2 linked regions of the Daphnia pulex genome follow. The protein of the gene in region 2 purifies or fractionates together with the protein of the main gene of each other region. This does not show direct contact. Links are inferred from orthologs where the notes say so. Each region holds a gene or a part of one and is shown on either strand. Other genes may lie near its edges.

Evidence for each region. Proteins that work in one complex are often made in the same cells at the same time.
Region 1: the proteins of GATOR complex protein WDR59-like (region 2) and GATOR complex protein NPRL3-like purify together in Homo sapiens (affinity purification with western blotting; 3 studies listed by BioGRID and IntAct, with this or other methods). This does not show direct contact. The link is inferred for Daphnia pulex from reciprocal best matches to the Homo sapiens genes WDR59 and NPRL3.

The regions. Positions count from the first base shown.
Region 1 is NC_060022.1:6,641,343-6,645,940, reverse strand, and holds GATOR complex protein NPRL3-like, read right to left. Parts: upstream 3,248-4,598; 5' UTR 3,138-3,247; coding exon 3,107-3,137; intron 3,037-3,106; coding exon 2,947-3,036; intron 2,877-2,946; coding exon 2,770-2,876; intron 2,694-2,769; coding exon 2,517-2,693; intron 2,458-2,516; coding exon 1,552-2,457; intron 1,480-1,551; coding exon 1,214-1,479; intron 1,153-1,213; coding exon 984-1,152; 3' UTR 561-983; downstream 1-560. Other genes in the region: kinesin-like protein KIF2A, read left to right, coding at 1-107, 174-367; uncharacterized protein LOC124195566, read right to left, coding at 3,426-3,792, 3,895-3,971; eukaryotic translation initiation factor 3 subunit D-like, read left to right, coding at 4,582-4,598. UniProt on the Homo sapiens protein: As a component of the GATOR1 complex functions as an inhibitor of the amino acid-sensing branch of the mTORC1 pathway.
Region 2 is NC_060019.1:12,027,762-12,031,844, forward strand, and holds the end of GATOR complex protein WDR59-like, read right to left. Parts: coding exon 3,909-4,083; intron 3,844-3,908; coding exon 3,665-3,843; intron 3,581-3,664; coding exon 3,453-3,580; intron 3,372-3,452; coding exon 3,335-3,371; intron 3,262-3,334; coding exon 3,060-3,261; intron 2,955-3,059; coding exon 2,779-2,954; intron 2,692-2,778; coding exon 2,494-2,691; intron 2,419-2,493; coding exon 2,295-2,418; intron 1,885-2,294; coding exon of another isoform or gene 1,844-1,884; coding exon 1,820-1,843; intron 1,648-1,819; coding exon 1,485-1,647; intron 1,420-1,484; coding exon 1,329-1,419; intron 1,221-1,328; coding exon 1,124-1,220; intron 1,059-1,123; coding exon 905-1,058; intron 822-904; coding exon 682-821; 3' UTR 660-681; downstream 1-659. UniProt on the Homo sapiens protein: As a component of the GATOR2 complex, functions as an activator of the amino acid-sensing branch of the mTORC1 signaling pathway. The GATOR2 complex indirectly activates mTORC1 through the inhibition of the GATOR1 subcomplex.

The sequences.
Region 1 (4,598 bases), on a different chromosome or scaffold from region 2:
AGATGTCGTTGAAAGTCATCGTAATTTACTTGAGAGTTTTCCGAAATGGCATGAAACGATTGCTAAGCTAATCGAACTTCCCGATCAACTTGATTTTGATCTTGAAGGTTTGTCAAGTAAAATTATTGTTTACTCTTATTTTCTAACACATGCAACTTCTTAATTGATTGCAGCCTATGTTTCGAAGATGTCTACTGTACTGACTGAGTTTGGCGATGATGTTATGTCTCTCAAAACCAAGTTTATCCAAGCCCGAAAAGAGTTGGAGGAAGATGATGTAGATAACCTTCGACCTAAGATGCTCCGCCATCCGAGATCAATGGCATACAAAGGAAATCAGCTCCGCGAAGCAGAACGTTGCGAATAATAGCAGTCGTTCAGCCGATCTCTTTATTTATCTTTCTACCTCTTTGAGCTTTTCCCGAAAAAAGATTCTTTAAACAGGTTTTAGCTTGTAATATTTCACCACTGTACGTCATCATCACTTCATTCATTGCCATCTATTTTGCTTCCTCATAAAGGTGAATATTACCATGCACAATTGTAAAGTAGAGCTAACATATGTAAAAGTAGATATATTTATTCTTGCTTTACCAAACAATTAGCAATCTCACTTTCTGCCAAATTTGATTCTAAGGATTTTGTAAAATATTTAGGAAAATTCATATTTTAATAGCAAATAAAACATATACTGTCCTGAGATAAAATTTAAAGTTTACAAAGGTTGAACAGGAATGCGACATTGGCCTATCTGTCACTAGCCCCCAACCGACTTCCTGACGTAAGATTACCTCGCAAGCTGCGATGTAGACACAGGTATTGAGCTACGGCAACAGTCGGCTTCGTAGGAGACCAATAGGGAGGGTTTTTGATGCGAGCTAGTGTTAACGCCAATGTTCACATACCGCTTTTAACTTAAATCAAGTGAAAACGACTTCCATATAACATTCACCAATTTTGATTTCCACTGAAAAATATGATATTTAAGTTGTAGAATTCTTGTAGAAAACGGAGCAAGCTGAATCTTCATGTTCGAATGTAATGAGAATAGTTCGAAATTTGTCAATAAGGTGAAGTAGGTCCGATCTTCGAACATTTTCCAAGTACATGATTTCCTCTAGATGGTGTTTCCCGCGGAAATATTTGCAAAGCCTGTGTTTTCTTCTATTAGATTATTCATGAAAAGATGTTTTTAAATAATAGTTTAGCTTACCGAGCAAAAAGTTCCAAGTCTTCTGAGTTGGCAGCGGCATCAACTTGAAGGACAGCCTCTCTTTCAGCATTACTCAGAGAGGCCGAAAGAATATTTTCGATTGACCACGGAGCTTTACTACTGATGCTCTTATGTGAAGGTGGACTGGACAAAGCCTCGTCACTAATAACAGAGGCCATGTCGCTATCGCTGGGCATTCGTGTAAGGCTGGATCCAGCATTCAATTCATCTGGAGTGGACTGGCGACTTGCAAACGTTACACGCGTCTAGGGGATAATTCAAACAATACTGTCTGATTTAACTACAGTAATCGTTATACTTTAAACACAAAAACTTACCGTTTTGGCACTACGAAATGAACCCTTGTTAAATGATCTCGGATGCATGTCATCAACGACAATATGTACATATGTGTGCAATTGTATGAGCAAATGATGTTGCAGCATCCAAATAATAATTTTAATTTCCTCTGATTCTTGCTCTGGAGTGGCGAGTGGATTCCTTCTCTGGCTCAATGATACAGGAACGGAAAATTCGGACATAATCTGAATTAAACAAGCACTATTGAACATTTCGGAGAAGACATCAGCAAGTTTGGATTGTGGGGAAGTGTTGGCACTGCCTGCAAGGACGTAAACATTGCTATCACAAAGAGGATATATAATGGTTGCGTGTCCAAAGTATAGCATGTGACCCACTAATTGAAAGACGTGTGATAGCGTCAAGTCAGCATCGGCTGCTAAAGTTTGTAAACTTTTTAGGGGATTCGCAAGATTTATGAGTCGTTTCAAAGCGGGGGACGAATCAAGAGGTAGATTATTGATGATTTTTTCTTTGTCCCCAAGCAGCAAAATGGCGTGGTATGGTCTCAATGCTTCCATGCAAGCATGAATGTCTGCTGGTTCAATAACAAGTCCAGGGTCAAGAAGGTGGTAGATTTTTTGAGGTAAACAGCAGCTGATCAGAATCCATCGATTGATGCGCAAATGTATCTTCCCAGAAATTTGTAAATCTTCGTAGACACGACGCAAGTCGCGCGCAAGCTGACTTCGTTGTAAAATTAAATGGTACGGCACATCTAGTGGATCATCGGGCAATTCCGAAGAAATGTCATCTTGAGTGGATGTCATGACCTTGGCTTCTTCACTCAAATATGCCACTCTACGCTCTTCATGCCAAAGTGCAGCTGCTATTCTCTTGCTTACTTCATGATAACAGTCAACTACTGCATGACTTGCAGATGCCTTAGAAGTGTAAAAAATATTGATGAAAATCATGCAAGTTTAAAATGGAATCTCTTTACCTTTAAGGCAAAAACTACATTGAAAGACAAAATTGATTCCTGGCTAGAGCCAGCAGATTTGCCTTCACCCTGGTGGTAAACAAGAAGTGGATGACCGACAAACCGAATGTCATTTATTTTTATTTCAAATTTTTTTCCACACAATTCTGATTTCACAGCAAACAAATTGGATAATACCTAAATAGTTGAAAAAATGTTTTAATAACCTTCAATGTTTCAAAACAGATTATATTAAGAGAGTATATTAACATACTTTGCTTGGAAAGCTGTGAACACTACCACTAATTGTACTGGAATATGCTGCACTTGTTTTTTGCATATCTTCAGCACTGATCTGGGGGTATGGAGTTTGCAGTTGCTCTATACAATACAACAGAGAAAAAACTTGGAGACTTGCGCTGGAAGTTATGGAGTTTCGTAAGGAACTTACTTGCGCGTGTACGTTTTGCAAAGTTTGGTGTAGCTTGAGTATCATAAGGATAGCGAAACAACAAACGATCACCTTTGCTACCGTTTTCGACTAAAGCCACGTTTGTTCCCATTAAATATTTTCTTTTGAAATAAGCTTTATCTGTAAATAATATATTTACCCAAAATTACCGCCAACGGATTGACATCCATGCTTCTTTTTCTATGAATTTTCTCGCTAACTTCAGGCGTTTAGAGGCAGAAACACCACGCAAGACGCAAACTGTCAATTTTTGAGATTTGCTTCAATTTTCGTCTGCATTCTTAAAAATCAAAAACAAAACAGTGCCATCTACGGTTTCTTCACAGATTCAACGTAAAAAAAATAAATAGCAAACAAATGATTTGAAAAGGAGAATCGCAAAAAATTTACCAAACAATAAACTGGTTTTTACTTAATGTATTTCAACTTCAATTAAATTATGTTTACAGATAGGAAATTCAACTATTTGTTGACAATTCATCTAGTCTCTTCTTAATGGCTACTGTATCCACTCCTTGGATATTGTGCTTCAAAGCCAATTCCAATTGTTTCTTCTCCAAACCATCAACTCTGTCATATAAACTTTTTCCAAGTTTATCATCAACATCATTTTCTTCTCTCAGGACACAAAACCACACTAGTATGGCAGTAACACTAGCTGAAATCACAAATGGCTCATACCATGGAGATTCACCAGTATTTCCTCCACCACTAAATGATTGTTGTGCTGACCATTTGGCAGCGTTTGAGTTGGAAAATGACAAAGGCATATCAGGATTTTCTGGTTGCTTAGTGGATCTACTGCAACAAGATTGCATAACAGTCCTAGAAAAAAATATACCATCATTATTTATTTGTCACATACTCATTTTCCATAATAAGGTCACACTCACACAGATGCACAAGTTAATATTTCAAAATTCATACCTCAGTTGTTCATTTTGGATTCCAATTTGTGTCCTTTTGAAATAAATAAGTCTATTGAAAGATCTAACAGCCAACATTTTTATAGTAGTAGTAGCCTAGTTACCCCATGGCCTACTCTATGGTTAAGGCCTGTTGTATCCACCATGGACTACTAAAGCTAGAGGACGGGACTCACGTCCTATCCCGCCGTGTTATAGCTTGTCGGGTGTATTTTTAATCATATTTTTTTAAGAAGGGTCAATCGATAGAGATTAAAAAAGCTATTCTAAGTCTCCAAAGCACCTTTCTTGTGAAGATATTAAATTAAAAGATATTTGCGGTTAAATTTTGAGGGGACGGGAGAGGTGTTCGTTGGTTGTCTCCACCTAGCGCTAAGAATTGTAAACTATGGTTTTTAGAAACAAACAGAATCCAGAGAATCACCAGAGAATCACAGATAGCAGACGCACCTAATCAAACCAAACCAAAACAAAACCAGAGAATCATAGAGTGGTAAACCAACAATCACCGCTAGGCGGCGACAACTAACGAACACCTACGTCAATTTCTAATTAAAATATCACCGAAATTAAATATTTATTTCCCGATAGGGTGTTTTTTTCACGGGGTTTAGGTTTTTTGGGGGGAATTTGTCAATATTTCCACCAATCATCAATTTCTCATTTTTCCACCAATCAACAATTTCTCATGAATCATTTTAATGG
Region 2 (4,083 bases):
ACCTACCATTTATGATTTCAGCCTTAGGAAAGGAGGGATTTTTATTTTTCCCCGAACGATTTGGATAACTTGACGTGATTCACTAGTCGACAGTTTTGAGCGTCGCAACTCACTGCCGTGTCACTTTCGACAAACGGTAATTTGGTGCATACGAGTGAATTATCCTTTTCAAGAAACCGCAACCTCCGTCGTTCCGTTTTGTTTCGACACACACTCGGAAGTGACCCACTCCAATTTCGTTATCCTCTATACATCATAAGCCACAATCCCCTAAAAGGTTAGCAACATTTGATTACACGTTACCTCATTTATCACTCGCTAGGAAAACGTCAACTTTTGTAACGAGCGTTCATAAATGAGTGTATTAGGAATACGTCACGGACTGCACAGGGGGTTGACCGACCACTTTAAAGTAATCGAAACGATAAAGTGACGCTTTGGGGTCGAAACGTAATTAGAATCCCTATCGGGACTTTTTTAAAAATTTGTTAATAATATTTTTTGTTTCTGCAAAAATATTTAAAAAAGTATTCCGTTTGTTTCTTATAAAAAAGAAATTTAACATTTTAACCTGAGAATAACGGAAATTTTACTTTTGTAGCAAATTTGTATAGTTTCAAAGTTTTTTGTAAACCAAATGTATTCTTTGTCTCAACGTATTTAATGCGATTTAATATATTATCAGACGGAAAACACAGTGTTATTTTCCAACAAGCAGTTGCAACCACATCCTGTAGGGCATTCGTCTTCTTCAGTGAACCAATGCGACATGCATCTACCATGACCACCGTGTCCGCACACCAGACAAAAACTCGCAGAGCCTGAAAATAAATGATTCAACCATTATGCCACCTCTAACGCTATTACATGACTGATATTTACTAGATGGTTTTAAGATAGTTACCTTTTACAACAACTCGACAAATAACGCAATTGAGAAGCAAACGCTTGCAAAGGGTGCATTGCGGCCCTCTAACCGTAGTCCTACAAGGAACACACTCAGTTACGAAATCCACGCCTCTATGAGGATCAATGGGAGTGGATAAATATTTCAAAACCTTGAATAGACAAAATTGGTTTTCAAGAAGTACGGCCAAGAAGTTATTATTTTTAATCCGCATACCAAAACGCGAGCCTCGAGAAGTCCCCAGCGATAAAGGATATCAGCATAACATCGACGGTAGTTGTCAAATAATCCATTAAATTTCGGATCTAGTAATCTTGAAATCAAATTGAGAAAAGAAAACGCTTAGTTACGAAATTCAACAACAATAAAAACTCTTGATGTGAATGCGATCAAAATTTCAAAATTATTAAAAATTTCAAACCTGAAATCCTTGTCTTTATACTCTTCACTTCCATCAGTCCCATTCACTGAAACGACGCTCGTCACAGAGTGGGGTAGGAAAATGGAAGCGACTGAAATAAAAACCCATTCAGACAAAATTGATAACATTTCTAAAAATTTAAGGAGAAGCCCTTACTTGGCAAAGGGCGACCACTTGGGACAGAGTTAATTCCAGGAGTTGCAAGACGAAAATCATCAAGTGAATCCGACCACGAATTTGAACGTATTTGTTTTAAGACATTCCAGCTATCTAAAGTTGTGTCGCCCGGGTGTATTGTATGATACGGTGATTCTCCTGGCTAATGTTGAACATCAGAATAATTAAAGTTCACTCATCATAAGAGCTTAAAAGAGAAAAAAGCGAGGAAAAATAGGAAAACTCATATTCTCCACTATTGTGATTAGATATTTTTCATGTAAAAAAACCATCACACTTACGTGGGGGTAAAATCTAGAGGAATATATGCCTACCTTTAAACCCCACCGTAAGTTGCGCTGTAGGAAAAAAAACTCATTGATATCCCGCAGTCAGCATTCTCAAAATCCCAGCAGCACCAAGGAAATAAGCCACAGTGTTAGAGAGAGCATGTTGAGACAAAGAAGTAGCGATATTATGGAGCAAGATAATTTAGTTAAAAAAAAAAAAAAAAAAAAAAAAAACCAAAAACAAAAGGACAGACCACAAAGAATTTGAAATGCAATTATTCCCCTGAAAAAGGAAGGCGAAACCAGATTGCAATCAGGAAACGGAAGCCGAGCACGAAGAAATTAGAATAAAAAAAGATTTTATGATCAGAACACTCGAGAGAAAAGCCAATCCGACGATCACCTTTTTAACAATCAAACGTAAGACCTTGCTTATCGGTTCTAGTGCTATTAATCGTGATACCAAGTTTCAGAATGCCAGATTTCATGTTAAAAAATTAAAATAAGCTTCTACACTTACGCTGCCCGATTCCGATCGTGTTGTTTTACGCCGGAAAGTTTCCTGACTATCACATTTGTAACCAAATGCGCAACACAACATGGCTACAGTTTGTATATCTCGTAATTTCACGTAGTGGTCGATACTGTAATAAATTATAATGTTGGTGTGTTGTTTTAAGTATACGCTAAAGAGATCAAATAAATACACATATACATACATCGCATGAAGAAGCTTCCGGCCGAATGGATTTTGAGCCCATGGGGTATCAAGGTCATTGGTATTATTTTCGTGTATCAAGGTAGGAGTTGCCAGAAGGGCACCCAACGACCAAATGTAAGTCAAATCTTTTCTGCCAAACTGCGCAGCAACCGCTGCATTTTGGTTGCACATCCATGCCGTATCAGTATCGCTAAATCTGGTGAATAAAAATATGTAATGAAACTATGACTAAATCTGATTCAAGGAATTATTATACAAGAAAATATATAAAAGATAAACTAACACATATCTTTCTGCTAATTCTAACTGCTGTGGCATCAATCCAGAAGCATCGTAAATCGTCACCATTCCGACCACCTTATGATGACGTGCCTCTTGAGCTCCCCTTTTATTTTCGTCTGAAGACGAGCTATAAGAGGAAAGTCTATTTTTCGACTTAGAAGTTCGAGATTTCTGTCTCTGAATGAATTACAAAATATTTTGTTATTTAATCAGCAATGGAATTATCTCATTAATAAAAGGCTAATGTCAGCAATCACGGAAATACTTCCAAGTATAGCCTACCCTGTCTTGGTTATAAAAAGACGAGATGCTGACTGACGGATCACCGGTCGGACTTTGAGCAACGGGCGGATACAACAATCCATAAGGAGTCGTATTTGATGAAGCTACCAAGCTATGCTGTACCAAGTTTGATGAATAAGCTTGGTTCACGGATAGAGAACGAGGTGTAGTTGAAGTGTCCGAAGTTTTACTGTTCACACGCCTTCAATTATATAAATAAAATAGAACTGATGAATTCCTAGTCGTACGATTAATCATTTCAATTAATCAAAAACCTTAAATAGGATGGTCGACCAAAACAAATCAGCATACCTGTATAAAATAAAACAAGGGCAAATCAATATAGCAGTTTGCTGAAGGATATTTTTATGTTTTTTGTTTTAATGACATTACCAGCACTGCAAAATCGAGCACCGGATGACCGAGGGTATGGAATATTGTGGTCTTGATGATGAGTTAGACTACCAAATAAACCGCCATTCTGTAGGAAACCAGGATGCCCAAGACCAGTTTGCGGTAACCTAGAAAACAGATTCGTTAATTATGTTTAGTAGCATATTGAATATACGTTTCATCTAAGTAACTAAATACGAATTAAATGTTACCTGAAAGGAGTATTTCCGGTAGTTGATGAGTTGACATTCAATGTTATGGTCTTTGACGATTCCGTTTCTGACTTATCAATTGGTGTTAACTGATCGACTGAAATTAGAAGTTGTTGTAGCACGAGCTCTATAGACGGATGACCTTTGCGGCACGATAGAGTTGCTGCTTGTTTCAAAACCTGTACAATGCCGCCGTGTCAAATAAATCTTTTGAGTTACGCAAGAATAAACTCTCTCGAAATACTTTTAACATTTTGCTTCTGGCATTGTTGTCAATAGTCGTTCCTTTTCCGAATAGAAAATTTGGAATCGCTCCGTCGGGATACGATGGAGGCATAGAAATATGAAGTATTATTTGATGCTTTGCAGTGCGAATCACTGTTGTTAAGCTTCGTTGTGTCTCGTCTACATCGCAAACA